Macaca mulatta: one gene and its partners. The main gene of each other region encodes a partner of the protein of the gene in region 3 in a complex. Links are inferred from orthologs where the notes say so. Each region holds a gene or a part of one and is shown on either strand. Other genes may lie near its edges.

What was found.
Region 1: TAF7 (region 3) and TAF4 share a complex: the UniProt entries of both Homo sapiens proteins name them as parts of the TFIID basal transcription factor complex. The link is inferred for Macaca mulatta from reciprocal best matches to the Homo sapiens genes TAF7 and TAF4.
Region 2: TAF7 (region 3) and TAF12 share a complex: the UniProt entries of both Homo sapiens proteins name them as parts of the TFIID basal transcription factor complex. The link is inferred for Macaca mulatta from reciprocal best matches to the Homo sapiens genes TAF7 and TAF12.
Region 4: TAF7 (region 3) and TAF8 share a complex: the UniProt entries of both Homo sapiens proteins name them as parts of the TFIID basal transcription factor complex. The link is inferred for Macaca mulatta from reciprocal best matches to the Homo sapiens genes TAF7 and TAF8.

What each region holds. Positions count from the first base shown.
Region 1 is NC_133415.1:114,805,000-114,812,805, reverse strand, and holds part of TAF4 (transcription initiation factor TFIID subunit 4), read left to right. Parts: intron 1-520; coding exon 521-640; intron 641-3,280; coding exon 3,281-3,400; intron 3,401-4,738; coding exon 4,739-4,861; intron 4,862-6,277; coding exon 6,278-6,367; intron 6,368-7,220; coding exon 7,221-7,469; intron 7,470-7,806. UniProt on the Homo sapiens protein: The TFIID basal transcription factor complex plays a major role in the initiation of RNA polymerase II (Pol II)-dependent transcription.
Region 2 is NC_133406.1:212,285,040-212,292,845, forward strand, and holds part of TAF12 (transcription initiation factor TFIID subunit 12), read left to right. Parts: intron 1-4,723; coding exon 4,724-4,838; intron 4,839-7,504; coding exon 7,505-7,593; intron 7,594-7,806. UniProt on the Homo sapiens protein: The TFIID basal transcription factor complex plays a major role in the initiation of RNA polymerase II (Pol II)-dependent transcription.
Region 3 is NC_133411.1:150,151,506-150,159,852, reverse strand, and holds TAF7 (transcription initiation factor TFIID subunit 7), read left to right. Parts: upstream 1-4,127; 5' UTR 4,128-4,859; coding exon 4,860-5,909; 3' UTR 5,910-6,419; downstream 6,420-8,347. UniProt on the Homo sapiens protein: The TFIID basal transcription factor complex plays a major role in the initiation of RNA polymerase II (Pol II)-dependent transcription.
Region 4 is NC_133409.1:140,102,067-140,109,872, reverse strand, and holds part of TAF8 (transcription initiation factor TFIID subunit 8), read left to right. Parts: intron 1-3,710; coding exon 3,711-3,809; intron 3,810-4,133; coding exon 4,134-4,196; intron 4,197-5,570; coding exon 5,571-5,695; intron 5,696-7,806. UniProt on the Homo sapiens protein: The TFIID basal transcription factor complex plays a major role in the initiation of RNA polymerase II (Pol II)-dependent transcription.

The DNA of each region.
Region 1 (7,806 bases), on a different chromosome or scaffold from region 3:
ATCGCGTTGCAGTCCGCCATCTGCTCTTTCCATGTCAGTCTCTCTCTGACAAACTTCATGGGCTCAGGACTTGTGGTGTCCCCACCTCTGTCCCAAGCAGCCACCTTCCTTCCCCTCTCTGGCACTGACTGGCCATCTAGCCTAGGGGCGGCCACATCCCTTCCCCTCTGCGGCACCGACCGGCCGTCTGCCTTTGCACCCTTGTTGGTGATTGTTAATGAGGTCACGAGCCAGCAGCACGAGGACTCATTTCCAGACACTGCGTTCTTCAGAGACGAGTTTTTGTAGAGATGCTAAGAAGCCTAGTGATATGTTTATTGTGATATAGGAAAATGTTTGTCATACACTTGTTCTTTGGTAAGAAAACTTTAGAATTACTGTGGCTTCATTGCAGATCATGGAGAAGCCTGGGGCCCACTCGGATATACTAGTTACATTTGGAAGGGATAATTTCTTTGTACCTGGGGGTGGGAATTCCTTTTACTTGCGCTTGTTTTACGTGACTCTGCTTATTTTTCAGGCACCTGGAACACCTATCATTGCACGGCAGGTGACCCCAACTACCATAATTAAGCAAGTGTCTCAGGCCCAGACAACGGTGCAGCCCAGTGCAACCCTGCAGCGCTCGCCCGGCGTCCAGGTGAGAGGGCGGGCGGTGGATCTGCTGAGGCTGCAGGGGCCATGAAGCCTGATTTCTTTGATGCAAAGATCAGGCCTTAGGAGTTTTTTTTTTTTTAAACTGGATACTAAGTCAAATTTGGGGAGGAAGGTTCTCCTTGAAGAAAGTGCTGTTTCTTTGACCACCAGCATGGGATAAGTCAGGATCTCTTTTTTTTTTTTTTTTAGTCACACAGAATTTAACACCAGCAACACTGTTCAAGCTTTCCACCATGTTGGAAGCTTTAAAACTATGTGCTTACTAATACTTGATCATAAGGCATGTCTGAAGCAGAAGCAGCCTGCGGTGAGGACAGTGTGTGTGTGCACATGTGGCCTTGTGTGTAACCATGGGGATGGCAGCTGTCGCTGAGATGAATGTGGCCGAGGCGTCGTTCTCACTGTTGCAGGCACATGGACTGTAATTTTCACCGCACCCTGGGAAGCAGATGAGCTCGCTTCTTTCATCTCGTGATGCGGCGCTTATGCTGAGGCGAGGGAGGTTCTGGGACTCACTCCTGGCCATGCCGCCTGCAGGGTGCCTGCCACGCCATGCTGCCACCTGCCACTCACGTCCCGTTCCGTAGTGAGAGCATAGTTCCAGAAGGGTTCTGCACCTACCCAGGTGGCCGCTGGTTTCTAGAACAGCGTTTTCATCTGCGGAGGGGGGCGTGTCCCAGAGCAGGTGCTAGCCCCTCTCCTAGTGGTGCTGATGCTCCTGACAGCTCTGCCTTTGGTCTGCAGAACCCAGAAGGGTTTGTGTGCAGCCGGGCTGTTCTGGAGGGCAGCGGAGGTGCGTGGAGGGGAAGGGGCTGGCTGGTCAGACGCACCTGGTGAGGGAAGCAGCCTTCTCTGGGCAGTCAGCAGGAAGCAGCTGGGAGAAAAGTGGTTCGGGGGTTTTTCTTGGTCTGGTATCTGTGAGCGTCCGTGGATGCGCAGGTCTCTGTGGTGTTGGTCACTGCCGGTGAAGCTCCTGCCGTGAACCAGGCCTGGACGCGCTGCTGACGGATCCAGAGTCCTTGCCTCAGTGCTACAGACCCTGCTCCCATTGCTCAGTGGTGAAACAGAGGCTGAGCCCCGGGGGTGTGGACTTCAGGGGCAGCTTCCCCCCACCCGGCTCTTCCACCCTCACGGGATCTTGTCCCGGCTGGCTGCAGCTGCAGTGGGTGAAAGCGGGTGGAAGGGCGGTTCGGTACCAGGGAGACGTGTGCTGGCCTTTGGTGCGGGCCCTGCCCTCGGTGTTTTCCCTGGAGGAGCTTGCTCTGTCCTGTGCTCTGATTGGTGCGTCTGGATTTTTGGGTACAGTGACTTTTCTGAGAAGGTAGTGAAGCTTATGGTTAAGTTTTTGCATTATACTTAGTGGCAGACACGATCTGGATATCATCTGAGTGAAATATGTGTTCACAGGAGCAGAAGTAAGTGCGAGGAGTCAGTTCTGATGGGAAAGAAAACTCCCAAAAGATGAGATAGGTCCTGGGCACTCCTGGGGTCCGGAAACAGCAGCTTGGTGTGTCGTTTTACGTTTTCTTCCCTGGAGGTTTTTATTTGATGTTTTTCAGTTAAAAAAAAATCCATGCTTATTGTTACAAGTGAAAAGATACACAGACTTAGAAACAGCCCGTCTGCCCTGCTGTCTCCTCACAGCCCTTCCGCACCCCTCTGGAAGCGGGGTTGTGGGGTTGTTCAGAGCTGCTTCCTGCGTGCTGGCGGGGCTGCACCCACCTTGCCGCAGGGAGGGAGCTGCGCTCGCTGCTCTGGAGCCATTCTCAGGCTTACACTGCCCCCTGCTTTCAGAAGCTGCAAAGGAGTGTTTAAAAAGTTGGAGAGAAGAGAATGTTGACGACTAGATTTATACATTGGAAAAGTACTGGTTTAAAATATCAGTAAACATTTGCATTCTGATTATTCGTGTAGAATGGAAATGTGAGGAATTGAGTGCGGGCCACCGAGTTGTCTGAGCTACCTTTTGGTGTCTGGCTGTTCATTTGCTTAGCAAAGCAGCCGCTCCTTTCTGACACTTTGACACTGATGACCCATCATCCTTCATTGCTCGAATCTGCTCTGAAAACTCCCCTTTGTGGGAGGCTTCTTGTTGACACTCACTTTTGGGGAGTAAAGAAAGGTGGGTTTGGGTGATTGCAGGGAGCTGGGGACCCTCCCCTGCGAGAGGCTGTGGCTGTGGAGGCCTGACTGCCCTGTAGCCAGCCTCTGCATCTGGGAGGATGGAGCTTTCAGGAGCCGTTCTTCAGTTGTTTTGATTTCTGAGAGATGGGGATCTGGGTTGTCCGTTAGGATTATTTACTCTGGTCACTATGTGCCTTTTTCCATGGACTTCTGAGGACTGGAGTCTCTGCAGTGCCTGGCTTTGTGAACATCTGTTTTTGATGCAGGTGCAAATCATGCCTTCCTCAGGTGCTCAGGACTGCGGTCGTCAGGGCACAGGGCAGGCGTCCCAGCAGCACTCCCATGTCCAGCTGACTGGCAGGTGTCCAGGGCTCTTGGCTTCCTGGGCGTCCTGGCCACCACAGGGAGGCTTGTTTTCTTTTTCTGGGTGTGAGGCTGGTCTTCCCCTCATTAGCTGGTAGCATGAGATGCGCTTACCTTGTGTTTTGGATTCTTGTAGCCTCAGCTCGTTCTGGGCGGTGCTGCCCAGACGGCTTCACTTGGGACGGCAACGGCTGTTCAGACGGGGACTCCTCAGCGCACGGTTCCAGGGGCAACCGCCACTTCCTCAGCTGCCACGGTAAGAGCCGCTCCTTTCTGTGCCTTCAAAGACGGTCAGGCCCATGGCGCAGGTCAGAAAAGGCAGCCTTGAGACCTCGGGCCGGCTTCTGTCCCAGACTGCTCGCTGCCTGCTTCACAAAGCGATGAACAGTCTGGGGCCCACGTGAGCGTGTGGGGCTCTGCTGCTTGAGGTGGGCCCTGAGGGCCTCAGACTGCAGAAGTCTGCAAACAGCAGAAGCCCAAACACCTGCCTTTGAAAAAGTCACTGGCGTATGGTCGCGTTCAGTCTGTAAAATGGCGGCACCACCCGTTTGGACGGTCGCATTCAGTCTGTAAAATGGCGGCACCACCCGTTTGGACGGTCGCGTTCAGTCTGTAAAATGGCGGCGCCACCCGTTTGGACGGTCGCGTTCAGTCTGTAAAATGGCGGCGCCACCCGTTTGGACGGTCGCGTTCAGTCTGTAAAATGGCGGCGCCACCCGTTTGGACGGTCGCGTTCAGTCTGTAAAATGGCGGCGCCACCCGTTTGGACGGTCGCGTTCAGTCTGTAAAATGGCCGCGCCACCCGTTTGGACGGTCGCGTTCAGTCTGTAAAATGGCGGCGCCACCCGTTTGGACGGTCGCGTTCAGTCTGTAAAATGGCGGCGCCACCCGTTTGGACGGTCGCGTTCAGTCTGTAAAATGGCCGCGCCACCCGTTTGGACTGTCGCGTTCAGTCTGTAAAATGGCGGCGCCACCCGTTTGGACTGTCGCGTTCAGTCTGTAAAATGGCGGCGCCACCCGTTTGGACTGTCGCGTTCAGTCTGTAAAATGGCGGCGCCACCCGTTTGGACTGTCGCGTTCAGTCTGTAAAATGGCGGCACCACCCGTTTGTACACGTGCAGTGTTGGCCTGTGGTGATGGACGTCTGTGAACAGTGAGCCCCACTTGGCAACTTCTTGGGTTTCTTTGCTGCGCACTTTTCGTTGCTTTCATGTCTGCCTCCTATTTGTTTCCTTCTGTGTCCATTTGGATTGGCATAGGTTGTCCTTATGGTCAGCGACATTGCAGCAGGCGTCTTCGCAGAGTCTCTTTTCACTTTTTTCATTATTTGCATAGCTACATTCCTAGACGTGGCCTTGCGGGACTGTGGGAGATGCTGACTTCGGTGGCCATGTGACTGATGTGGCTGGGCCGCCCCTCAGAGCATGGCCCGGGGTTCCACTCCCATCCACAGGCCAAGAGGTGGTGCGTTTTCTTGAAGTTTAGAGGAGAAATATATGTATCTCTTATACATACGCATATTTTATTAACCAAAGGCTGTGACAAAAATCTGCCTTTTAAGATTTTTCACTTATGTCTTTTTACTTTAATCCAGGAAACTATGGAAAACGTGAAGAAATGTAAAAATTTCCTATCTACGTTAATAAAACTGGCTTCATCTGGCAAGCAGTCTACAGAGACAGCAGCTAATGTGAAAGAGCTCGTGCAGAATTTACTGGTGAGAAACCTTGACTTGACATTCCCTTTTCCCTAAGGCCTGTTGCATAGGAGAGACACCTATTGCTGCTGTGACTTGTGCCTGGGAGGCCTGTGCCAGCAAAGGGAGAACTCCTCTGGAAGGCTGCAGGCAGAGGGGGGGGTGCACACCTGTCAGAGGTGTGTGTGGCCTAGCTGAGGAGACTCCTTCCTGGGGCTGGGTGTTCTGGGGCTGGTGCCTGGTGGTCTCCTGGGCTTTGCCATTTTCTGGTGCCTGTGTCCCTTGTCTGTGGCTCTCTTCTCCTCTGGCTGCCCCCACCATGCTGCACTCTGGCCAGGGTCCCTGGCAGCTCCCTTCTGGTCCTCTCCCCACTCCTGTGTGACCTCTTGTAAAATTCCCAGGTGTCCGCAATCCCTGCTGGAACAGGCATTCCGCACCCTGAGCCAGCAGAAGCCCCCTCCCCGTGGAGCAGACCAGCTGAGGCACATTCGTGCTCCAGTGGCAGAGCCGTCCCCCCACCCCTGCCCCCACCCCTTCCGAAACCTCTGTCGCAGTGAACAGCACTCTGTCTCCTGGCCAGAACGTGGGAGGATTCCTGGCGGCCTCCCCTCTCCTTAACCCACAGTCCCAAGCTCTACATCTCTACTCATGGCCGAACTCTTGGCTCTCCACCTTGGCTCTCCCCACGGCTGTCTCATGGCTCAGGGGTATGCTGGCCTCAGTGGGATGGCCTGGGGATCTGGAGTGGCCAGTCTTTCTGTGCCTTCTCCTTGCCCGCCTGACCATGTCTTCCTGAGTCTCTCAGGGTTCAGTCCAGGCACCGCCTTCCCACCCTTGTCGCCTGTCTTCCCGACCTTTATGCCACGCTGGCCTCTGTTTCTGAAACAGGATCTGGCCCTCTTGCTCTGGGCTCCCTTTTATCTGACTGGACTCTGGGCACCGTGACTGCTTGCAGGGGTGAGCACAGCTGTTGTCTGCTCCTGAAGGTGCTGATGCCCTGACTGTCTGGATCCTGTCTGTGTGGCCCCTGGCACGCTGTGACCTCCTGTAGCACTGTGCTTGCAGGGCTGGCTTTGATAATGGAGTTACTTTTAGGCTGATCTGCCTCCTAGCAAAATGCCTGACACCGAATAGGTGCCTGGTAAACACTGAGTAAAGACTGGCATTGAGTAAGAGGCTTAGAAAAAGACGAGAAGTAGACAGGTGACCCTCCCAGGAGGAGACGTGGTCCGCAGCTGGCTGCACTGCGGTGTCCAGGGTGAGCGCCTGTCACACGTGTATCTGTGGAAGGTGTAGCACGCAGACTTTCCCATCTCCTCTGTCCAGTGAAACTCGGGGCGGAATCAGCCGTAAAATACAAGACCAGAGTGATGCGGGATTCAGAAGTGTGTGTGGAATCTCATTCACCAGAATTTCAACATGGATTTTATTTTTAAGGATGGAAAAATCGAAGCAGAAGATTTCACAAGCAGGTTATACCGAGAACTTAATTCTTCACCTCAACCTTACCTTGTGCCTTTCCTGAAGGTAATTTCGAAGGCCCGGGTGCTTGACAAGCAGCAGGGCCAGGGAGGGGTGGGGCGCAGATGCTCCAAGTGCACAGGGGTGAGGATGCTCCAGGCACGGAGGGTGCACAGCGCCTGTGCTCCCTGCGGGGGTGGGGCCGGGGACTCAGTGCCTGGGGACAGAATGTTAGGTGTTTTTCTGTAAAGCAGGAGCTCCCCTGACACTGTGGCCTTGTGGTTCTGTTGTGCGCAAGGTGGTGAGAAGGGCGCGCGCTTCCTGAAACCGAGGGGAACAGGGAATTGTGGTTCTGTTGTGCGCAAGGCGGTGAGAAGGGCGCGTGCTTCCTGAAACCGAGGGGAACAGGGAATTGGGGTAGTGTTTGCAAAACTGGATAGGACCAAGGGTTTTAAGAGTGTCAGGCTGTCTGTTGGATAATCATTGGTATGAGCACATTTTAAAATTTAATACATATATTTGTACATATTTATGAGGTGCATGTAATGTTTTGTTACATTCATAGAATCAGGGTATGTGGGGTCTATCACTTTGAATACTTATTTCCATGTGTTGGGAACATTCAGAATCTTCTCTTCCCGTGATGTTAAAATATTTTAAAAACTATTTTAAAAATATGGCTCTTTTTGTTTGTTTTCTTAAACACATTTTGGACATTTGCTATCAGGAATAATCCCGCCTAGTGGGAGGGCGGGATGGGGTCCTGGCCCCTGACATCCAGACGTGCTGCTGTGAGGGCCAACATCCGTCTTATTTAACTCAAAAATTTTCTGTAAAAGTTGATATTTCTGAATTTTTAAGCAAGGAAAACTGACGCATGAGCAACCCCCTGACCCCTCGTGTCTGTCTTTCCACCCAGAGGAGCTTACCCGCCTTGAGACAGCTGACTCCCGACTCCGCGGCCTTCATCCAGCAGAGCCAGCAGCAGCCGCCACCGCCCGCCTCGCAGGCCACCACTGCGCTCACGGCTGTGGTGCTGAGTAGCTCAGTCCAGCGCACGGCCGGGAAGACGGCGGCCACCGTGACCAGTGCCCTCCAGCCCCCTGTGCTCAGCCTCACGCAGCCCACACAGGTCGGCGTCGGCAAGCAGGGGCAACCCACACCGCTGGTATGGAAGGGGCACCTTACTGGTCCACACAGCCCACCGTGCCTCTGCTCCCTCCAGCTTCTTAGATAAATTGGCCATGGTTCAGAAACCTTTTCCAAGCATGCAGGAAGGCTCCTGCTAGAGGAAGCTTAGGCATTACCTTAGTTAAAATAGAAATCAGGGTTGAGGCCCTGGGATTTTGTGTTTTGTCTCAGTAAAATGAAATAGTTGAATTGGCTTTGAACCACTGGCACATCCCCGCCTTGTCTTGTCTAGGGATGTTACTGGTGTAAACGAATGCAGTGTGTTTTTAGAGGATCTTGTAGATAGATGTTCTCTTGGGTTAGGAGCAGCGGTC
Region 2 (7,806 bases), on a different chromosome or scaffold from region 3:
TTTGACCCATTAATTTTATAATATCCTTTTTTTTTTTTGAGATGGAGTTTCACTCTTGTTGCCCAGGCTGGAGTGCAGTGGCGCAATCTTGGCTGACCGCAACCTCCACCTCCCGGGTTCAAGCGATTCTCCTGCCTCAGCCTCCTGAATTGCTGGGATTATAGGCATGCACCACCATACCTGGCTAATTTTTGTATTTTTAGTAGAGATGGGGTTTCTCCATATTGGTCAGGCTGGTTTCGAACTCCTGACCTCAGGTTATCTACCTGCCTTGGCCTCCCAAAGTGCTGGGATTACAGGTGTGAGTTATGGTAAATGAGAATTTTTTACACCACTCACATATGTACCATATAACTTTCTTTTTTTATTTTTATTTTTATTTTTTTGAGACAGTCTTGCTCTGTTGCCCAGGCTGGAGTGTAGTAGCACGATCTCAGCTTACGGCAACCTCTGCCTCCCAGGGATTCAAGTAAGTGATTCTCCTGCCTCAGCCTCCCAAGTAGCTGGGATTATAGGCATGTGCCACCACACCTGGCTAATTTTTGTATTTTTAGTAGAGATGGGGTTTTGCCATGTTGGCCAGGCTGGTCTCGGACTCCTGACCTCAGGTGATTCACCCACCTCAGCCTCCCAAAGTGCTGGGATTACAGGCATGAGGTATCATGCCTGCTGGCCCATATAACTTTCCTTACTGTTTTTCTTTTTTTTTTTTTTTTGAGACAGAGTCTTGCTCAGCCACCCAGGCTGGAGGGCAGTGGTGCAATATCGGCTCACTGCAAACTGCATCTCTCAGGTTCAAGCGATTCTCCCACCTCAGCCTCTCGAGTAGCTGGGATTACAGGTGCACACCACCATACCTGACTAATTTTCATATATTTAGTAGAGACAGGGTTTTACCATGTTGGCCAGGCTGGTCTCAAACTTCTGACCTCCAGTGATCCACCCGCCTCGGCCTTCCAAAGTGCTGGGATTATAAGTGTGAGCCACTATGTCTGACCCTGGCTATTCATTCTTAAAGAATCACCCACTGGGCAGGCGCAGTGGCTCAAGCCTATAATGCCAGCACTTTGGGAGGCCAAAGCGGGCAGATCACAATGTCAGGAGATCGAGACTATCCTGGCAAACACAGTGAAACCCCGTCTCTACTAAAAATACAAAAAATTAGCCAGGCATGGTGGCGGGAGCTTATAGTCCCAGCTACTTGGGAGGCTGAGGCAGGAGAATGCTGTGAACCCAGGAGGTGGAGCTTGCAGGAAGCTGAGATTGTGCCACTGCACTCCAGCCTGGGCGACCCAGCAAGACCCTGTCTCAAAAAAAAAAAAGAATCACCCTCTGAAAAGCTGATTTGAAGCATAATTGATGAATTTGGCCCAGTAATATATGGATAAATGTTTAACAACCAGCTCTTTGGAGGAAAATGCCCAATTTGCAGTACTTTATTATTTCTGTGATGTAACTATTTCTACCAACATGACATCACTAAATACAAACTTGGGAAAAGAGGTACATAATTGGCTTTTTTTTTTTTTTGAGATGGAGTCTCGCTTTGTTGCCCAGGCTGGAGTGCAGTGTCTTGATCTCGGCTCACTGCAAGCTCCGCCTCCCATTTCACGCCATTCTCCTGCCTCAGCCTCCCGAGTAGCTGGGACTACAGGCGCCCGCCACCACGCCCAGCTAGTTTTTGTATTTTTAGTAGAGACGGGGTTTCACCGTGTTAGCCGGGATGGTCTCGATCTCCTGACCTCGTGATCCGCCTGTCTCGGCCTCCCAAAGTGCTGGGATTACAGGCGTGAGCCACTGCGCCCGGCCCATAATTGGCTTTTATGAGCAGGTCTTGGTTCACTCTAGCAGACCACAGACTTGATTGACTTCAGAGTAATTTGTCCACAAGTCAACCTTCCTAATGGAAAGTTCCCTAAATGTCAGTATCTGTGAGTCTTTTCTCTGGAATCATTCAATATCTCCAGAGAAAATTCCAGTCTCCTATCTTGAGAGTTTATCCCTTAGTTTCTTTTTTTTTTGAGATGGAATCTTGCTCTGTTGCCCAGGCTGGAGTGCAGCAGCGTGATCTTGGCTCACTGCAACCTCCGCCTCCCGGGTTCAAGCTATTCTCTTGCCTCAGTCTCCTGAGAAGCTGGGACTACAGGTGCACGCCATCACACCCAGCTAATTTTTGTAATTTTAGTAGAGATGGAGTTTCACCGTATTGGTCAAGCTGGTCTCGAATTCCTGACCTCGGGTCATCCACCCACTTCGGCCTCCCAAAGGGCTGGGATTACAGGCATGAGCCATTGCACCTGGCAATATGTTTTTTTTAACTGTCATATTAATGGGATTAGGGAGGGACAGGAGGTCAATTGATCTGCTGTTTAATCAGAAATCTTTCTCTTAGATGGTGTGCATTTGGTTCCCACAGTAAAGATGACAATGAGTTAATGGTCCACCAGAACAAGGAATTTTGTATCTATGGTTGTAATTTTAGTTTGTTTTTGTTTGTCAGCAGAGGAAGCCATGGGGACTCTATGGACTGATAAAAATCTCAGTTTTTTCATGTGTGTGCATATTTATTTACTTATTTGTTTGTTTGTTTTTGAGATGAGGTCTCTATCACCGAGGCTGGAGTGCTGTTCCATGATCACAGCTCACTGCAGTCTCGACTAAGTGGACTTAAGCAAGCCTCCCACTTCAGCCTCCCTAGTAGCTGGGACTACGAGTGCATGCCACCAAGCCCAGCTAATTTCTGTATTTTTTGTAGAGACAGGGTTTTGCCATGCACGTTGCCCAGGCTAGTCTCAAACTCCAGAGCTCAAGCAAACCATATGCCTCGGCCTCCCAAAGTGCTGGGATTATAGGAGTGCCTCATGTAGATATGTAGATTTTTATCTTCAGAATTCTCATCCTTCTCTTCACACAGTCCAATAATAATTGATAGTGATGTGGAAAGAACTCAAGATTTAGACTCAGAACCCTTGAGTTGGAATCCTGGTTCCTCTGCTTTCTTTCTTTCTTTTTTTTTTTGAGACAGAGTCTTGCCCTGTCGCCCAGGCTGGAGTGCAGTGGTGCAATCTCGGCTCACTGCAACCTCCACCCCCTGGGTTTAAGCGATTCTCCTGCCTCAACCTCCAGAGTAGCTGGGATTACAGATGCCCGCCACCGTGCGCAGCTAATTTTGTATTTTTAGTAGAGACAGGGTTTTACCATGTTGGTCAGGCTGGTCTCAAACTCCTGACCTCAGATGATCTACCTGCCTCGGTCTTCCAAAGTGCTGGGATTACAGGTGTGAGCCACCATGCCTGGCCTCTATTTATTTGTTATTATTTTTTAAATTATTATTATTATTTTTTGAGACAGAGTCTTGAGCCACTGTGCATGGCCCTTAGAGACTGGGTTTCTTTTTTATTTTTTATTTTTATTTTTTTGAGACGGAGTCTAGCTCTGTCGCCCAGGCTGGAGTGCAGTGGCGCGATCTCGGCTCACTGCAAGCTCCGCCTCCCGGGTTCACGCCATTCTCCTGCCTCAGCCTCCTGAGTAGCTGGGACTACAGGCGCCCACAACCGCGCCCGGCTAATTTTTTGTATTTTTAGTAGAGACAGGGTTTCACCGTGGTCTCGATCTCCTGACCTTGTGATCCGCCCGCCTCGGCCTCCCAAAGTGCTGGGATTACAGGCGTGAGCCACCGCGCCCGGCGAGACTGGGTTTCAATATGTTGGTCAGGCTGGTCTCGAGCTCCTGACCTCAAATGATCTGCCCACCTCAGCCTCCCAAAGTTCTGGGATTACAGGTGTGAGCCACCATGCCTGGCCTCTATTTATTTGTTATTATTTTTTAAATTATTATTATTATTTTTTGAGACAGAGTCTTGCTCTGTCATCAGGCTGGAGTACAGTGGCACGATCTCGGCTGACTGCAACCTCCACCTCCCGGGTTCAAGTGATTCTCCTGCCCCAGCCTCCCAAGTAGCTGGGACTACAGACACATGCCACCACACCCAGCTAATTTTTGTATTTTTAGTAGAGACAGGGTTTCACCATGTTGGCCAGGATGGTCTCAATCTCTTGACCTCATGATTCGGCCGCCTCAGCCTCCCAAAGTGCTGGGATTACAGGCGTGAGCCACCGCACCCAGCCTATTTATTTTAAAATACAGATGGGGCTCTTGTAATATTGTTGGGCTGGTCTCGAACTTCTGACCTCAAGTGATCCTCCCAACTCGGCCTCCCAAAGTGCTGAGATTACAGGCATGAGCCATTGCGCCTGGCCTTCTGCTTTCTACTTACATGGCCATGAACAAATTAGTCTCTCTGAGTCTGTGAAATCCTCTGTGGAATGAATAAAATCCATGTCCCATTTTCTTCACAGGATTATTGTAAGGACTAAGTGAGATAATGGAAACAAAAGTGCTTTTAAAATACTGTGAGTGAGGAATTCAAATGATTCACTTTTATTTTCTCACTAATAAATAAAGATATGGAGGGCAGGGATTGGGTTAGTTGATTACTGCTGGGTAGAAATTATATGCTCAGTAAGGTATGAGTTGCACTCAACCTGGGTAATGTTTCTTTTGTCCTTCTCATTCCTCTTCCTCACCTTAGCCCAAATGCTGATTCCAGCCTTCTACTAGAAAGCCTGACTAAATACGCAATACAAGCTGAAAGCACTTGTCCCAGCAACAGGAGCCTACCCTGCCAATGTCGTGCTGACTCTCCCCACTTTACCTTCCCCAGATGCTGCTGCAGATTGCTGATGATTTTATCGAGAGTGTGGTGACAGCAGCCTGTCAGCTTGCGCGGCATCGCAAGTCCAGCACCCTGGAGGTGAAAGATGTCCAGCTGCATTTAGGTATGTGGTCTTGTTTCTCCCTGAAGTATATATTCAACTGCTTCTTCAGGACTGCCAGGGAAAGTGCAGTCAGAAGAACCTTCATGCCAGAGTCAGACTTTTGGGCACTGGGATTTATGTATTAATTCAATAACAGCACCAAATAGAAAAGAGAAATCCATCTATGGTAGGGAGAATGAGCCCAGGCATGGGTTTGAAACCAGATTCTGCCACTTTCCAGCTGTATCAGCCTATTTTTCCTACCTAGTATCTCTTAGAGTCTGTTTCCTCATTTGTAAAGTGAGGATCATAATATCCTCCTTACAGAATAATTGTGAGAATTATAGACTATGTCTGTAAAGTGACTGGCACAGGGCCTGCACAAAGTAGGATCTAGTAAATGTAGGTACTGTTATGTCTCCACCATTCAAATGAAACTGTTCCTCAGTGTTCCCTTACAGTTTTAGCTTATTTATGCATTTTCCCCAAGTTTATAATCATAATATACATACAATTTTATATTTTCCTTTTCTACTTAACAGACACTAAATTTGAGTTTGAGTTTTTCTGGGAAATACTCAGCTAACAGTGATAACCATAATCACTTGGAAATTAATAAGCAGCCTTCTGCATTGGATACAATGTGATTAAAAGAAAGATCAGTCTATAACTGTGTGTGTGTATATATATGTATATATTTATGTGGGTGTATATATATAGTATATATAATTTATATATTTATATAAATATATATTTTTATATATTATATATACTTTATATATATTATACTATATATATATAAATAAATATATATATTTTTTGATCGAGTCTCACTCTGTCACCCAGGTTAGAGTGCAGTGACGCCATCTCGGCAACCTCCACCTCCTGGGTTCAAGCGATTCTCCTGCCTCAGCCTCCTAAGTAGCTGGGACTATAGGCCTGCACCACCACACCTGGCTAATTTTTGTATTTTCAGTAGAAATGGGGTTTCATCATGTTGGTCAGGCTGGTCTCGAACTCCTGGCCTCTGGTGATCCACCTGCCTTGGCCTCCCAAAGTGCTGGGATTACAGTCGTGAGCCACCATGCCCAGCCCAATGTATAACTATAGAGACAGGCCAAATGAATGAGATTCGGTGCAGATCAGCCCATGACTAATTATTGAAAGGCTTCCTTCACAGCGTCAAGAAGCTATTGCCTTAGGGATGCATTGGTAGTCTAGGTAAAGTAAGTAACACACTTTGGGTAATGTTGCTGGTGTCTAGAGAAAAGGACAGATATTCTGGTTTTCTATTAATGTGTAGCAGACCACCCCAAAAACAGTGGCTTAGCACAATAACAGTTGTTGATTTTATTCATGAATCTGGGGGTTGACTGGGCTCAGCTAGTTTTACTAAGTCAGGCAGTGGCTGGGCCTGAGATTGTCTTGAAGGAAAGCATACTAGTTTCCTCGGGCTACCTTAACAAAATACCATAAACCTGGCAGCTTAAAACAACAAAAAATTTTCTCTCACAGTTCTGCAGGCCAGAAATCTGAAATCTAAGTGTCAGCAGGATCATGCTCCCATTGCTGCCCCTAGGGGAGAATCTATTCTTGCCTCCTCCTAGCCTCTGGTGGTGGCTGGCAATCCTTGGTGTTCCGTGGCTTGTAGCTACAGAACTCCAGGCTTTGCCTCAGTCTTCACATGGCCTTTTCCCTGTGTGTCTCTGTCTCTGTGTCTCTTCTTTTCTTCTCACAGGACACCAGTCATATTGGATTAAGGGCTAACCCTACTCCAATGTGATCTCATTTTAACCAGTTTCATCTGCAACATCCCTATTTCCAAATAAGATCATATTCTGGAGGTACTTAAGGTTAAGACTGCAACATATCTTTTTTAGGGACACAATTTAAATAACCCATAATGGAAGGCTTCATATCGTCCATGTCTGATGCCTGGTCTAAGAACACTGAAACAGCTGGGATTCTGTAGGCGTCTCCCTCCATCCCTCGCAACCCTCCCATTCCCCTTCACATTCCCCAGTCCTACCCTTCCCATCTTCCCCACCCACCATCTCTCCATATGGTCTCATCCTTTAGCAGTCCCAGGATAGCTAGACTTCTTCGCCAACACGGTGAAACCCCGTCTCTACTAAAAATACAAAAAATTAGCCGGGTGTGGTGGCCGGCGCCTGTAGTCCCAGCTACTCGGGAGGCTGAGGCAGGAGAATGGTGTGAACCCGGGAGGCGGAGCTTGCAGTGAGCCGAGATCGCGCCACTGCACTGCAGCCTGGGCGACAGAGTGAGACTCTGTCTCCAAAAAAAAAAAAAAGAAAGAAAGAAAGAAATATTAGCTGGCCATGGTGGCATGCACCTGCAGTCCCTTGGGAGCTATTGGGAGCTACTTGGGAGGCCAAGATGGGAAGATCACTTGTGCTGGGGCAGTCAAGGCTGTAGTGAGCCAACATTGTGCCACTGCACCCCACTCTGGGTGACAGAGCGGGAAGACCCTGTCTTCAAAAAAAAAAAAAGAAAAAAAAACCTTGGAGAGGCCATGCCCATTTTTCCCATTTGTAATATAATCCCTCTGTGGAGTTAGTTAGTAGCCAGATGTCCACATTCATCCTCCCTGATCCAAGGGGGTCACATTGCACTCCTGGTACTGCCTTTTTGGTACCTTTATCTCTGTACTGGCTTCTTCCTTGCAGAGCGCCAGTGGAACATGTGGATCCCAGGATTTGGCTCTGAAGAAATCCGACCCTACAAAAAAGCTTGCACCACAGAAGCTCACAAACAGGTGAGGAAATGCCAGAGCCCTGGGGACAGCCAAGGCTGATTCCTTGAGCTACATCTCAGAGCGGATAAACACAGCTACCTTCTAGGGGGTCTCCCTTCCCCCATACAGCAAACTTCACTCTCCGGATCAAAGGTCAGAGAGGGCAAGAGGCAGCAGCAGTCGCCAGGAGATCAATAAGATATTCACCTGGTGCCATGCTGTTCCCACACGTGG
Region 3 (8,347 bases):
AGGTTCTGATAAATTTAATCTAATAATGATAATCTCATCCTCTTGACAGTGCTTAGTTAGGAATACAGACTTAAAATAATAAGCAGGGTTTCTCAACCTTGGTACTATTTTGAGCCATATAATTCTTTGTGGTGGGGAGCTGTTCTGTGCCTTGTAGAATGTTCAGCAGTATCCCTGGCCTCTATGTACTAGATACCAGTAGGACCCACCCCCCACAGTTGTGACAACCATAAATATCTCCAGACATTACCAAATGTCTCTTCACCTCTCCCCATTTTCAGAAACACAGGCTTAGGGTATTCCCCTAGTGAGTATTAATGAGCCAAGAATAGGAACATGGCCTAAGTTGGTCCAATTGGATTGAAAGACTGCTTGGGGAGAGTGACTCTCTTGTCACGGACAAGGAAGAAAGTTCTCCAGTTATTGCTGCTGGCTGGTATCTTGTGACTGCAGCCTTTGGAATTCTACAAGGAGAGGAAAGCAGAGCTGAAACAATAATAGAAAAAGTATAAATAAGTGCTTATTCTTCAAAATTAGGAAGAAAAAACAATTTGTGCTATACCATGATTGTATCTGGCCTAGAGGCACTGAAACTTCTAGACCTGCCTGTCCACTAGAGTAACAACCAGCCACATGTGGTCCCTGAGAACTTGAAATGCAGCTAGTCCAAACTGAGATGTGCTGTAAGTGCAAAACACACACTAGGTGTTGAAGATTTAGTACAAAACAAGAATGTAAAATGTATTATTAATATATTTACATTATTGTAAAAATATGTTGCAATTATATCTTAGATATACTGGATTAAAATTATTGAAGTTTCACCTGTTTCTTTTTGCTATTTGAATGTGGCTACCAGATAATCTAAAATCACATCTATGGCTCACCATCTGTGGCCCACATTATATTTCTATTGGACAAAGCTGCGCTGGACTACCTGTTTTTTGGGATCATAGATTTTCTTACCGTTTAAACCAGTGTAAATTAGATTTTAATGTTTTTCCTATAGAAAACATCCTACTAGATACAGGAACTGCTATATATTTTTAGTTAGCCTTTTTACCTTTAAAATATATGGTGATATAGCAATATGTAAGTTGGCTTTTCTGTGGTATTTGCTATTTCCTCACCCTTATAATTTTCTACCTCCTAAATATAAGCAGGATTTCTCCCATCACCCATAATTTAACCTCCAAAGTACAAGCAGCCCTTTAAAGAACTAAAAAGTGTATTAAAGGGCTGCTTATACTTTGGAGCCCTTTAAGGAACTAGAAAGTGTATTAAATGGAATTTTCAAACATACACAATTATTAGTAACCTGATTGCCACACTCCTTAATGACAGGCAGGAAGCCTTTGGAGGACTTGTTACCACACCGGGGAAATTATTGCTCTCCCCAAATCTTTTGTTCACTACTATCACAGATATTCCATGGAACAACCACAGGAGTGTAATTCATCAATTCAGAGTTTTTCTGAATGTCTAATGGAATTAAAAAAAAAAAAACTGGGGATTTATCAGTAGACATTAAGATAATGTGATGTGGCAGAGGCCTTAGGCCTTAGTGATAGGCAGAGGTCTGCCACATCACATTATCTTTTTTTTTTTTTTTTTTTTGAGATGGAGTTTTGCTCCAGTGTTGCCCAGGCTGGGGTGCAATGGCACAATCTTGGCTCACTGCAACCTTTGCTTCCCAGGTTCAAGCAATTCTCCTGCCTCAGTCTCCTGAGTAGCTGGGATTACAGGTGCCTGCTGCCAAGCCTGGCTAATTTTTAAAAATATTTTTAGTAGAGATGGGGTTTCACCATGTTGGAGAGGCTGGTCTTGAATTCCTGACCTCAGGCAATCCACCTGCCTTGGCCTCCCAAAGTGCTGGGATTACAGGCATGAGCCACTGCACCCAGCAGATTATCTTAATGTTTACTGATAAACCCAATTTTAAAAAATATTTAGGGTCAATATAATTTCCTCTCCTAAAAACAGCATATAGAAAATGTGTTAAACTCAAAAGCAGAAAATATAGTTTAGGACTGAAGGAGTTAGATACATTAAGAAAACCTTAGTTAATCCTTTTAACTATGTCTGGCAATATTCCATGTAAAAAAAGGTTTAGAAACTAAAATATATAGTAATTTTGGAAAATGAAAAATTGGATACAATTTATTTCAAGTTAACTTCTATGATAAGAATATTTGAGCATCATAAAACTCATAGGGAAGATGCTGAGTAATATTTGGATTATTTTCAAGTATAATTACTTCACATTTTATATGGCTAAATAAAACATGGCCAGGTGAGGTGGCTCATGCCTGTACTAGAAAAAGCTTTATCTTTGAAAAAGAGGTATAGGTAAGTCAGCTAACATTCTTCAACACATTATAAGCAAAGAGAAATAATTTACAGTTATCTGGAAGGGCATACTTTCTCTTTTAAAATTAACATTAAGAACCAAACTAACCTCAGGTCATTTTAATTTCCTCCCACGACAGTATCTCATTCTAGCTAAACCACATTCACACACACTATTAGCAAACCTCCCCACCTCATAACAATTAGCATTGTCCCTGACTAGAGAGGAAATGTATGTAAAGTGGCTCTATCTCATTTTAAAGTGACAAAGAATGTATTTTCTCTCACAAATCACTACAGCATTTAAGACTATGATCTTTCTAGATAGATCAATTTTTTCATTCAATTAGCAAATATTTTTTGTGTATCTCCCATGTTCTGGTACTAGGCACTGGGACACAATGACCAGGATAGAAAAAGATCACTATCATGGAGCTTTCAATCATACAGGAATAAAGTGAATTTTGGAAATGTTAATTACATCTTAAGAGAATTCTCTTAAATTTAGGGGCAATTGGTAATATTTTAGAGGATAGAAATTAAATGTTAATGGCCTTGATGCTCTACCAGATATTTTAAAAATAAATGGAAATAAATAGAAATAAGTACCAACTGTTACCCAGTTATGTCAAAATACTAAAAATATGTGTTGATGAATACCTGACCCTCCAAAGAAAAGACAAGCACAAAACAGCAAAATAGTAGAGGTGGAGTTAAAAAAAAAGTCAAAGTATTTAAAATTACTTGTACATGAGAAGCAGGAAACAATACTTCAATTATGTCTACTTTAACCAGATGCTCAGTCTATCAGACAATTCTGTCCAAAATGAACCTGTGCTTGCAGAAGAACACTTCCTTCTCTGCTTACATTTACATCTAAATCAAGCATATAAAAAGGAATCACCCTTGTTTCCTCAGGAGTATTACAGAACAGAAGGAAACCCAGAGGCACAATTCCCCTACAGGGAATTATATTAAACAAAATATAGACTTTGGGCCAGGCACGGTGGCTCACACCTATAATCCCAGTACTTTGGGAGGCCAAGACAGGCAAATCACCTCAGGTCAGGAGTTGGAGACCAGCCTGGCCAACATGGTGAAACCCCTTCTCTACTAAAAATACCAAACTTAGCTGGGGTAGTGGAAGGTGCCTGTAATCCCAGCTACTCAAGAGGCTGAGGCAGGAGAATCGCTTGAACCCTGGAGGTGCAGATTGCAGTGAGCCAATATTGTGCCACTACACTCAAGCCTGGGTGACAGCCTAGACTCCATTTCCAAAACAAACAAACAAACAAACAAAGAGAGGTTTAGAATTATATAGTGAGCTCCATGTCCTCCTCACTCCACTGATTTGGGTTCTTTAAAATCCATTGTATAGTAGCTACACATTCTTGTATTGGCACCAGATTGGCTAGACCCTAGGAAGCATCCGAGATGTTTCCAGAAGCAAAGACGCTTACTGCCAGGCGTCCCCCATCTCCCGGAATCACCCGGAAGTCTAGAAGCCATCCGGCCCCACAGCGATCCCTTAAAAGTGCTGGCTTAGCGGGGGACGAATCCGTGTCTTTCTTGTAACTTCCAAGCGCTAAATAGTTTGAAACCAACAGCTCTTCGAAAACACTATCATTTTCATCCCAGAAAAGCAAGTTCTCGCGAAAAGACGAGTTTCACGCTGGGCAGCGTAATTGCGCTATTGCGCCTGCGCGCGCCGGGGCTCCGCCCTTCCGGCCGGAGGGGCTGTCACTCACATCCACCTCCCGCCCCGCGTCGTGACGTAGCACTTCCGTTTTCTCTGGGCAAGCGGTCGAACGGAGGGCCGGCGAGGTGCCGGGTCTGGTTCTCCGAGCTGCGCCTCTCGGCAAGATTTCGCGTTGCCCATCCTGGGCTTTCATCAGTAATCGATAGTGGATCACTCTGCCAAGCGGCAGGAAGAATTAAGGAAACGACAAGGAGACGCTTGGCTGCCTCCCGCTTTGCTCCTTGCGGCCTCCTCTTCCCTTCGCTCCGGCCCGGTGAAACTGAACTTATAATCGTCACTGGATTGTAAGTACCCGAGGCGAAGAGAGCTCACTGAGCCCTGATGTTTTGAGTGTCTGTTCCGGGAGAGTTTGTAAATTGAGAGTATCTCTGCTGGCCTTTCTGGGCCGAAAACCGTTCCGCGGGAGCCGCCATTTGCTTTCCTGCTTCTTAGCTAGGTAGCTGTCTCCGCGTTGTCGGGCAGCGGCACCTAGAGGTTGGGACTTGGCATTGCATCTGATTTAATGAACTTAAGTCTGTGAATAAGCCTTTGTGTTAACGACTGGTATTTGGTCACAGCATATTTAGAGAAAAGACTTGGAGCTTAAATAAAAACGAAGGCAAAATAGACGCTAAGCTGCTGATCTACAGAGAACTTCTTGTAATTAAAATATTTCAATTCATAGCGAACTGGTGTTTTAAACTATTGCAGTAGCTGGAACTTTTTACGGTAACCATCATTTATTGGAGAAGTGAGTCACAAAGAAATAAAAATGAGTAAAAGCAAAGATGATGCTCCTCACGAACTGGAGAGCCAGTTTATCTTACGTCTGCCTCCAGAATATGCCTCTACTGTGAGAAGAGCAGTACAGTCTGGTCATGTCAACCTCAAGGACAGACTGACAATTGAGTTACATCCTGATGGGCGTCATGGAATCGTCAGAGTGGACCGTGTTCCATTGGCCTCAAAATTGGTAGACCTGCCCTGTGTTATGGAAAGCTTGAAAACCATTGATAAGAAAACCTTTTACAAGACAGCTGATATCTGTCAGATGCTTGTATCCACAGTTGATGGTGATCTCTATCCACCTGTGGAGGAGCCAGTTGCTAGCACTGATCCTAAAGCAAGCAAGAAAAAGGATAAGGACAAAGAGAAAAAGTTTATCTGGAACCACGGAATTACTCTGCCTCTGAAGAATGTCAGGAAGAGAAGGTTCCGGAAGACAGCAAAGAAGAAATATATTGAATCTCCAGATGTGGAAAAAGAAGTGAAACGATTGCTGAGTACAGATGCTGAAGCTGTTAGTACTCGGTGGGAAATAATTGCTGAAGATGAAACAAAGGAGGCAGAAAATCAAGGCCTGGATATCTCTTCTCCAGGAATGTCTGGTCACAGGCAGGGCCATGACTCATTAGAACATGATGAGCTTCGGGAGATATTCAATGACCTCAGCAGCAGCAGTGAGGATGAAGATGAGACCCAGCATCAAGATGAAGAAGATATAAACATCATTGACACTGAGGAAGATCTGGAGAGACAACTACAGGACAAGCTAAATGAATCAGATGAACAGCACCAGGAAAATGAGGGAACCAATCAGCTGGTTATGGGAATTCAGAAGCAGATTGACAACATGAAAGGCAAGCTCCAAGAGACCCAGGACAGGGCAAAACGACAAGAGGATCTCATCATGAAAGTGGAAAATCTGGCTCTCAAGAACAGATTTCAGGCTGTACTGGATGAGCTCAAACAAAAGGAAGACCGAGAAAAGGAGCAACTCAGCTCTTTGCAAGAAGAGCTAGAATCACTCCTAGAGAAGTAAAAAGAACTGATTCTTAATTTCAGTGTTCAGACTGATCAGCATTAGAAAATTCTTGGCTTTATTACTTGTACTGGATATTAACACCTTGCACTTCCTAGTCCCTCTAATGCTGTGTGTTCTGTTAAGTTCTTTCATTTGTTTATAGTTTTGTTTTTCAGCAAATTTACATTGTTTTGCTAGGTGTTCATCCTATAAGAAGCAGGATTGTATAGGCAGAAAAATGATAGTAGGAAAGTTGCAGGATTAGTGGAATGTATGGTTCAACCTTAATTATAGCTCCACTGCAGGACTTTGCTGTTTCTCCATTTTCTAGAAGCTGCTGTTGCTGCCTTATGATGACATGAGATCAATAAGAAGAACCTAGTCTAGAGACAGTGATGCTAGTTTGCATATGTTTTCCCATGCAATAGCTGTTTTCCCAGTTACTCAAAGCAGTTTCCCATATGTAGAGATGCAAATTTTATTAAGTTGTTTACAATACAATAAATAAAAGCATCTGTTTTTCACTTTGTAGTGTATCTTGTTCTTTCATGGTTGGTGGGAGTCAGGTCCCTTTTGAGGTGGTTTCGTGGTGGAGTTTAGTGACTAAGAAATTTGATCCAGTTCTGCAGGTAGAGGCAGTTTGGTTTATGAAAAAAAGCAACACAGCAGGGGTAAAGAAATTGGGAATTGTCATGTTTGCATCATATTAAGATTCCAGTTCTATCTGATCTACTTGAAAGCTGGGAAACATTAGATACAGAGCTTTCTTAAACTACCCTAATTTTTGTAGATGAAGGCCTTTGTGCCTTTTTTAAAAAGCTTACTAAATCTACCTGCACAAAATGTTGGAAACAAAGCAGTGGTTATCAAGTGCAGTCCAATGAATCATTCCATTGGTTTGGATTAAGATTTTATTTCTATTTTTCTTCAGTTGAGTTCTTATAATTAATAATCTGAGAACTGAGGTCATTTATCAATGTCATTTCATCAAAATTGCTCATAAAGTAAGTCGGTACCAAATTTCTCATGCTTTAAAGATAATTTAATGCCTCACAACATGAGCTATTTTTGAAAAATCAGTTACTGATAAAAGAGGCAGAGTTGTATGCAATTTGTTTCTGACAGGTTGGTTTATGAGAAGCTTGGGTTTGAAAATAAAGTCCTTTTTTTTTTTTTTTTTGAGATGGAGTCTAGCTCTGTCGCCCAGGCTGGAGTGCAGTGGCACGATCTCAGCTCACTGCAAGCTCCGCTTCCTGGGTTCACACCATTCTCCTGCCTCAGCCTCCCGAGTAGGGACTACAGGTGCCCACCACCACGCCCAGCTAATTTTTTTTGTATTTTTAGTAGAGACGGGGTTTCACTGTGTTAGCCAGGATGATCTCACTCTCCTGAACTCATGATCCACCTGCCTCGGCCTCTCAAAGTGCTGGGATTACAGGCGTGAGCCACCGCACCCGGCCTTTTTTTTTTTTTTTTTTTTTTAAGGACAAAGTTTTGCTCTTGTTGCCCAGGCTAGAGTGCAATGGTGTGATCTTGGCTCACTGCAACCTCTGCCTCCTGGGTTCAAGCCATTTTCCTGCCTCAGCCTCTTGAGTAGCTGGAATTACAGGCATGCGCCACCACACCTGGCTAGTTTTATATTTTCAGTAGACCCAGGGTTTCACCATGTTGGTCAGGCTGGTCTTGAACTCATGACCTCAGGTGATCCGCCCGCTTTGGCCTCCCGAATTGGTGGGATTACAGGCCTGAGCCACCACACCCAGCCTAAAATCCCTTTTACTTGTATCCGACAGGAAACTATATTAAAATGTTTTTTTAAAAAAATTAGTTACCTAGTCCTCAGGTCTACAATTATATATGCTGACATTTGCAGGCTTCAGAAGGCTAGTTTATCTTTTTTTTTTTTTGAGATAGAGTCTCGGTCTGTTGCCCAGGCTGGAGTGCAGTGGTGCAATCTTGGCTCACTGCAAGCTCCGCCTCCTGGGTTCACACCACTCTCCTGCCTGAGCCTCCTGAGTAGCTGGGACTACAGGCGTCCACCACTATGCCCAGCTAATTTTTTGTGTTTTTTAGTAGAGACGGGGTTTTCACTACGTTAGCCAGGATGGTCTTGATCTCCTGACCTCGTGATCTGCCCGCCTCGGCCTCCCAGAGTGGTGGGATTACAGGCATGAGCCACCGCGCCTGGTCAGCTAATTTATCTTTTAACTGAAAACGTTTTTATAAGTTTGTTGTTTTTTTTTTTTTTTAGATGGATTCTTGCTGTGGAGTACAATGGTATTATCTTGACTCACTGCAACCTCTGCCTCCCAGGTTCAAGCGATTCTCCTGCCTCAGCCTCCCGAGTAGCTGGGACTACAGGCATGCGCTACCACGCCCAGCTAATTTTTGTATTTTTAGTAGAAATGGGGTTTCACCATGTTGGCCAGGATGGCCTTGATCTCTTGACCTTGTGA
Region 4 (7,806 bases), on a different chromosome or scaffold from region 3:
ATTATAAGCTCTTGGTGAGTTATGGGTGCCCTTAAGGACTTTTGTTGGGGAGTCAGGGCTAATTCCCCATGCAATAGATATCATCACATTATGTAATCAAATGCTAGATTGTGTGATACAAAGAATGAAGGGGAAAAGCCACTTTTTTTTTTTTTTGAGACAAAAGAGTTTCACTCTGTTGCCCAGGCTGGGGTGCTGCAGTTTCACAATCTCAGCTCACTACAGCCTCCGCCTCCTGGGTTCAAGCAATTCTCCTGCCACAGCCTCTCAAGTAGCTGGAATCATAGCCATGCACTACCACTCCTGGCTAATTTTTGTATTTTTAGTAGAGACAGGGTTTCACCGTGTTGGCCAGGCTGGTCTCAAACTGCTGACCTCAGGTGATCCGCCCACCTCTCAATGTGCTGGGATTACAGGCGTGAGCCACCGCACCCAGCTGAAAAGCCACTTTTAAAAGGAAATGTGTTGAGATTTAGAAGCCCGGGTGTGGTCTCACAGAGGCTTTTCTGCATGTACAACATATTTCCCTGTTTTGAACTTTCGGGGGATGGGATAGGATGAGGGTTGGAAGTATTTATGGTGTTTCTTAGGGATCAACAACTATGAAAGGAAGTAGGAGAAAGGTTTGGGCAGAGGGAGAAGTGGAGTGCAATGCAGGCCAAACAAAGAACTGGACAACTTAGCCAGGAACCCTGGAGCATCATTGCCTATCAAGCTGAAAAGGCCCTGCCTTTATACTCAGGTCTTGATCAAACACTAGATGTGGGCTACCCCAAGAAGGGTGATCTTGGGCAAAGTAATTCTCTGCAGCTGATGTTTGGCACTTTTAAATACCAAATGTTTTCCTAAAGCAGTGATCTGAATCATTTTGGCTTCAGAACTCCTATATTTATTCATTTAGAGATGGGGTCTCGCTGTGTTGCCAATGCTGGCCTCAAACTTCTGGACCTAAGCCTCCCACATAGCTGGGACTACAGGCATGTGCCACCATGCCCAGCTCTCAGAATCCCTTTTTATTTTTATTTTTATTTTTTTTGAGACGGAGTGTCGCTTTGTCTCCCAGGCTGGAGTGCAGTGGCCGGATCTCAGCTCACTGCAAGCTCCGCCTCCTGGGTTCCCACCATTCTCCTGCCTCAGCCTCCCGAGTAGCTGGGACTACAGGCGCCCGCCACCTCGCCCAGCTAGTTTTTTTTGTATTTTTTAGTAGAGACGGGGTTTCACCATGTTAGCCAGGATGGTCTCGATCTCCTGGCCTTGTGATCCACCTGTCTCGGCCTCCCAAAGTGCTGGGATTACAGGCTTGAGCCACTACGCCTGGCCAGAATCTCTTTTTATTAATAAACATTGAGGACCCCAAATAGCTTTTGTATATGTGTATTTGCCACGTTAGAAAAAACAAATTTTGGGACTGGGCGTGGTGGCTCACGCCTGTAATCCCAGCACTTTGGGAGGTTGAGGTGGGTGTATCGCCTGAGGTCAAGAGTTTTGAGACCAGCCTGGCCAACATAGTGAAACCCTGTCTCTACTAAAAATACAAAAAATTAGCTGGGTGTGGTGGCGGGCACCTGTAATTCCAGCTACTCTGGAGGCTGAGGCGGGAGAATTGCTTGAACCCAGGAGGTGGAGGTTGCATTGAGCCAAGATCACACCATTGTACTCCAGCCTGGGCAACAAGAGCGAAACTCCATCTCAAAAAAAAAAAAAAAGAAGAAGAAAAAGGAAATTTCGAAAATAAGAACGTACGATTACATATTCTGTTATTCATCAGACCCATGATGTCATCAAAAGTCACATAGACTCAGGAAAACTACCTGAGAGAATGAGAGTGAAAAAGTCAAATAATGACTTAATTTTATCATGAAAATAGTTTTGACCTGTGTGGACTTTAGAACAGATTTTGGGGCCTACCACAGGTTCCACTACTTTTTGAACTTTGTCCTAAAGGAATGAATTAATAGTTCCCAAGAGATAAGAATGCAGTTCTTGGAACAGTCTTGGAATTTAGAGTTTAAAAGTCATGGATAGAGGCTGGTGTTAAGTGACTTGCTCAGGGTAGCAGGGGAATTGGTGGTAGGTCCCCTGTTAGACACCCTTCCCTGTCAAGCACTACTTGCTTTTATTTTCTGAGCCACTTAAAATCTGAGCCAACATTTTATCCCTAGAGCAGGAGTTCTTTACCTTTTGAGGCCCCTTTATACATTTGATAAAATCTGTGGACCCATTCCCCAAAAAATGCTTTTTTTGTGTGTAAAATTCAGCACAGCTTCAGAGTATTCGTGAAACCTCCCGTCCGCCTTGGAAGCTCATTCACAGAACCGAGCTTCAAAACTCCATCTTAGAAACCTTCCCCCCCTTTTCCCCAAAGGACTTTAGTGTGACTCTTAAATAGAGGTTCAGCTTCAGGCAGAAGAAACAAAAATTGCCCATCAGAGAATAAGACCGTTTTGTGTGTGTGGTGGTGAGATACACATAACCAAATTTATCATTTTAACCATTTTTAAGTGTACAATTCAGTGGTATTAAGTATATTCACAATGTTGTGCAACCATTCACAGTATTTCCAGAACTTTTTCATCATTCTCAACAGAAACTCTGTAAACATAAACAGTAATTCCTCATTCTCCCTCCCCCTCCATTCCCTGGTAACTTCTAATCTACTTTCCATCTCTGGATACCTCATGTAAGTAGAATCTTTATTTGTCTTTTTGTGTCTGCCTTATTTCACTTAACATAATGTTTTCTTTTCTTTTCTTTTCTTTTCTTTTCTTTTCTTTTTTTTGAGATGCAGTCTCGCTCTGTGTCCCAGGCTGGAGTGCAGTGGTGCAATCTCGGCTCACTGCAACCACTTCTACCTCCCAGGTTCAAGCGATTCTCAGCCTCCTGAGTAGCTGGGATTATAGGCGTGTGCCACCTCACCTGGCTAATTTTTTATATTTTTGGTAGAGATGGGGTTTTACCATGTTGGCCAGGCTGGTCTCGAACTCCTGACCTCAAGTGATCCACCTGCCTCAGCCTCCCAAGTGCTGGGATTACAGGCATAAGCCACCACACCTGGCCCTAGCATAATGTTTTCTATTTTTTTCTTTTTCTTTTTTTCTTTTTTTTTTTAAGGAGTTCTCGCTCTGTCGCCCAGGCTGGAGTGCAGTGGCGCAATCTCTGCTCACTGCCACCTCCCCCTCCCGGGTTCAAGCTATTTCTCATGTCTCAGCCTCCCGAGTGGCTAGGATTACAGGCACCTACCACCACCCGTGGCTAATTTTTGTATTTTTAGTAGAGATGGGGTTTCGCCATGTTGGTCAGATTGGTCTCAAACTCCTGACCTCAGGTAATCCACCCGCCTCGGCCTCCCAAAGTGCTGGGATTACAGGCCTGAGCCACCACACCTGGCCTAGCATAATGTTTTCAAAGTTCATCTATGCTATAACATTACCAGAATTTCCTTCTTTTAAAGGCTGGATAATATTCCATTGTGTGTATATAGCACATTTTGTTTGTTCATTCACCTGTTAATGGACATTGGGTTGTTTCTACCTTTTGGCTATAGTGAATCATGCTGCTGTGAACATTGGTGTACTAGTAGCTGTTTGAATCCCTGCTTTCAATTCATTTGGGTATATACCTAGCAGTGGAATTGTTGGCTTATCTGGTAATTCTATGTTTAGCTTTCTGAGGAACCGAGAATAAGTTTTATGCCTTTAATCCCCTCTTAGACATTTCAGAAATTGGGAGAAGTGCCAAGTCTTACTGTGAGCACACAGCCAGGACCCAGCCCACACTGTCAGATATCGTGGTCACACTTGTTGAGATGGGTGAGTATACCTTCAGTTTCCAGTTCTTCCGTGCAACTGGAGAGAGAAGTTCCTAGGAGTCAGGCATGTCTGCTAAGTGTTCTTCGTTTCCCTCATGGTTCTCTTGATTTGCTTTGAGCTTGAGAGAGTTATCAAGAGAGATTCCTCTGAACACATCTAAGAGGCCTCATAATTCCCTGTTGGGGAATTCTGCCAGAGCTGCTTTTTGCGTGGCTGCAAGGTCATTGAGTTGAGAGTTTAAGCCATTTGTCCATAATACTACTATTCTTTCTGTATTCAATATCCAGTGGTCTGGGCAGTGATTTTTGTTTTCCTGTCTCTTAGGTTTCAATGTGGACACTCTCCCTGCCTATGCAAAACGGTCTCAGAGGATGGTCATCACTGCTCGTAAGTGACTTTGAACTGAGGTACCTAGCAATTTATCAATTAATGCTTGTGGAATGAAGTAATTGACTATGGTAGGGATTGGATTAGTAGCTACTTCCTTGTTGCAGGCTCTCTTCCAATGTTTGGGGCTACCTACAATATAATCTTTATTTGGGCTAGTGGGATTAGCATGTGAAATTCAGTCACCAAAAGGTAAACCACCTTTGAGATATTGCTGTGTTTCTTGTGCTCTAGCCCCAGAAGGGCAAATGATGCTGCTTGGAAAAATGAAAGTTCTTGTTCTCCTTAGATTAAGGGTTGGTACATTGTGGACTATGGGCCAAACGCAGCCTGCCTCCTGTTTTTGTAAATAAAGTCTTATCAGAATGCACCCATATTTACTTATTATCTGTGGCTGTTTTCATGCTATATTAGCATAGTTTAGTTGTGGTAGAGACTGTACCACATGCAGAATGTAAAGTATTTATTATATGGCCCTTTACACAAAGTTTGATGACCTCTACTTTAAGTAAAACTGGGTGCCATAAGCTGAGTGGCGAGTAACCAGTTTGGGCTTGTAGGACCTGGAGAGAATTAACTGGATTTTTTTCTTTTCTTTTTTTTTTTGAGATGGAGTCTCGCTTTGCTGCCCAGACTGGAGTGCAGTGGCACAATCTCGGCTGACTACTGCAACCTCTGTCTCCCAGGTTCAAGCTATTCTGCCTCAGCCTCCCAAGTAGCTGGGATTACAGGTGCCCGCCACCACACCCGGCTAACTTTTACATTTTTAGTAGAGGCAGGGTTTTACCATGTTGGACAGGCTGGTCTTGATCTCCTGACCGCGAGTGATCCGCCCACCTCAGTCTCCCAAAGTGCTGGGATTACAGGCGTGAGCCACCGCACCCGGCCTGGATTTTTTCTTTAAAGTCACTTTTTTCATGTTGGTATTTTTTTAAAAAACTCCCTCTCAACATATAGCAGTGGAAGGTGCCATTTTCAATCCCCTCTTGTTATCATTAAGCTCACACTTACTGTCCCCAGCTCATTGTTCCTTTTTGTTATCCAAGGTCTGTGAAAAGAGAACCAGCAGCCCATGTAACTTGCGTAGCTCCTCAGCATGCTGTTTTACATAGTTACTGTGGCCATAGCCATCCACCTCTACCTAAGAGGCTTGTGGGCAGATTGTTGTCAAAGGGAATGTCAACCAAGATTAGCCAGCAGGGCTGGGCATTGTATGCCATCAAAGACTGTTTATGGATTGAAATACAAAATGCAACTTGTTTAGAAAATTGAGGTCTGGCATTTTTTTGAGAAAATGAAGCTTTGGGGAGAGACCATAATCTGTAGAAATCAGGGTCTTGGGTGGAGGGGTAATCAATTGTGACTCTGTTGCAGCTCCGGTGACCAATCAGCCAGTGACCCCCAAGGCTCTTACTGCAGGGCAGAACCGACCCCACCCGCCGCACATCCCCAGCCATTTTCCTGAGTTCCCTGATCCCCACACCTACATCAAAACTCCGGTGAGTGTTGAAGCCACACTGGGGCTGTGTGTGGTGTAAAGCACAGAGTCAGTTTCTACCGACTGTCATGCGGCAGTGTCCAGTCCAAAAGTTTGTTGATGAAAGGGTGGTTCAAAACTCAGAATGTGGCCAGGCACGTTGGGCTCACACCTGTAATCCCAGTATTTTAGGAGGCCGAGGCAGGAAGATCACTTGAGCCCAGCAGTTCAAGACCAACCTGGGCAGCAGAGCAAGACCCTGTCTCATTTGAAAAATAAAGAAAGAAAGAAAAAAAGAATTCAGATTATCTTTCCTCATTGAGAAACAATTGGCAAATGAGAATTATGTTCTCAAGTTTACCAGCTAAAGTGTAATTAACAAAGAAATTGAAGCTGACCCCAGTATTTTCTGTCCTACTGAAACACAAAAGTACATAGCCACATAGGAACAAGACTGAAAAGGTATTCCACTAAATGTTCATAGTAATTTTTAGTTGAGATTTTAGGTAATTTTGTTTTGTGTTTACTTTTCTGAGTTTTCCAAATTTTCCATAATAGGAAAATTATTTTTTCAATTGGGGGAAAAGTTACTTTAAAAATATTTAGTAACGGCCAGGAGCAGTGGCTCATGCCTTTAATCCCAACACTTTGGAAGGTCGAGGCAGATGGATCACCTCAGGTCAGGAATTCGAGACCAGCCTAGCCAACACAGTGAAACCCCGTCTCCACTAAAATTACAAAAATTAGCTGTGCGTGGTAGCATATACCTGTAGTTCCAGCTACTCAGGAGGCTGAGGCAGGAGAATTAAACCTGGAAGGCAGAAGTTGCAGTGAGCTGAGATTGCACCACTGCACTCCAGCCTAGGCAACAGAGCAAGACTCTGTCTCAAAAATAAATAAAAATTAGTAATGATAATGAAATGGAACTTATCACTCTGAGCTCTAGGTCTGAACAAGAAGAAGATGAGTTATCCTCTGTGGTTTGAATGTGTTCTAATTTGCCTGAATGGCAGTTTTACCTTCGGTTGGGAAGGTGTTCTCCCACACTTCCTTTGCTTCTGCCTCCATACCATATAGTGATGGCCATCGTGCGGGCTGCTGCAGCAAGCCCTCATGTCCTCTGGACATTTCTCCACACCTCAGGGTGGGGGAGAGGGGAGTAGTAGCTGCCCAGCTAATGCAACATAGCCCTTGCCCTTGCCCTTGATCAGATCTCTCTATTCCCTGGGCTGCTGTAACAAAGTGCCACAAACCAGGTGACTTAGAACAACAGAAATTTATTGTCTCACCGTTCTGGAGGCTAGAAGTCTAAAATTAAGGTATCATGCTCCCTCTGAAACCTGTAGAGGAGTCCCTCCTTGCATCTTCCTAGATTCTGGTGGTTGGCCAGCATTCTTTGGCGTTTCTTGGCTCATAGGTGCATCACTCCAGCTTTCTGTCTTCACATGGCATTCTTTTTTGTGTGTGGTAGCAGGGGCAGCGGGGGAGACTGGAGTTTTATTATTACTCAAATCAGTCTTCCTGAGCATTCGGGGAGCAGAGTTTTTAAGGATAATGTGGTAGGTCGGGGGAAGCCAGTGAGCCAGGAGTGCTGATTGGTCAGAGATGAAGTCATAGGGACTCAGGGCCGGGCAAGGTGGCTCGTGCCTGTAATCCCAGCACTTTGGGAGGCCGAGGCGGGGGGATCATTAGGTCAGGAGATTGAGACCATCCTGGCTAACACGGTGAAACACCGTCTCTACTAAAAATACAAAAAATTAGCCGGGCATGGTGGCAGGTGCCTGTAGTCCCAGCTACTCGGGAGGCTAAGGCAGGAGAATAGCATGAACCCGGGAGGCAGAGCTCGCAGTGAGCCAAGATTGTGCCACTGCACTCCAGCCTGGGTAACAGAGCAAGACTCCGTCTCAAGGAAAAAAAAAAAAAAAAGAAATCATAGGGACTCAGAGCTGTCTTCTTGCACTGAGTCAGTTCCTGGGTGGGAGCCACAAGATCAGATGAGCCAGTTTATGGATCTGGGTGGGGCCAGCTGATCCATCAAGTCCAAGATACCTCAAGCACTGATCTTAGGAACAGTTTAGGGAGGGTCAGAATCTTGTAGCCTCCAGCTGCATGACTTCTAAACCATAATTTCTA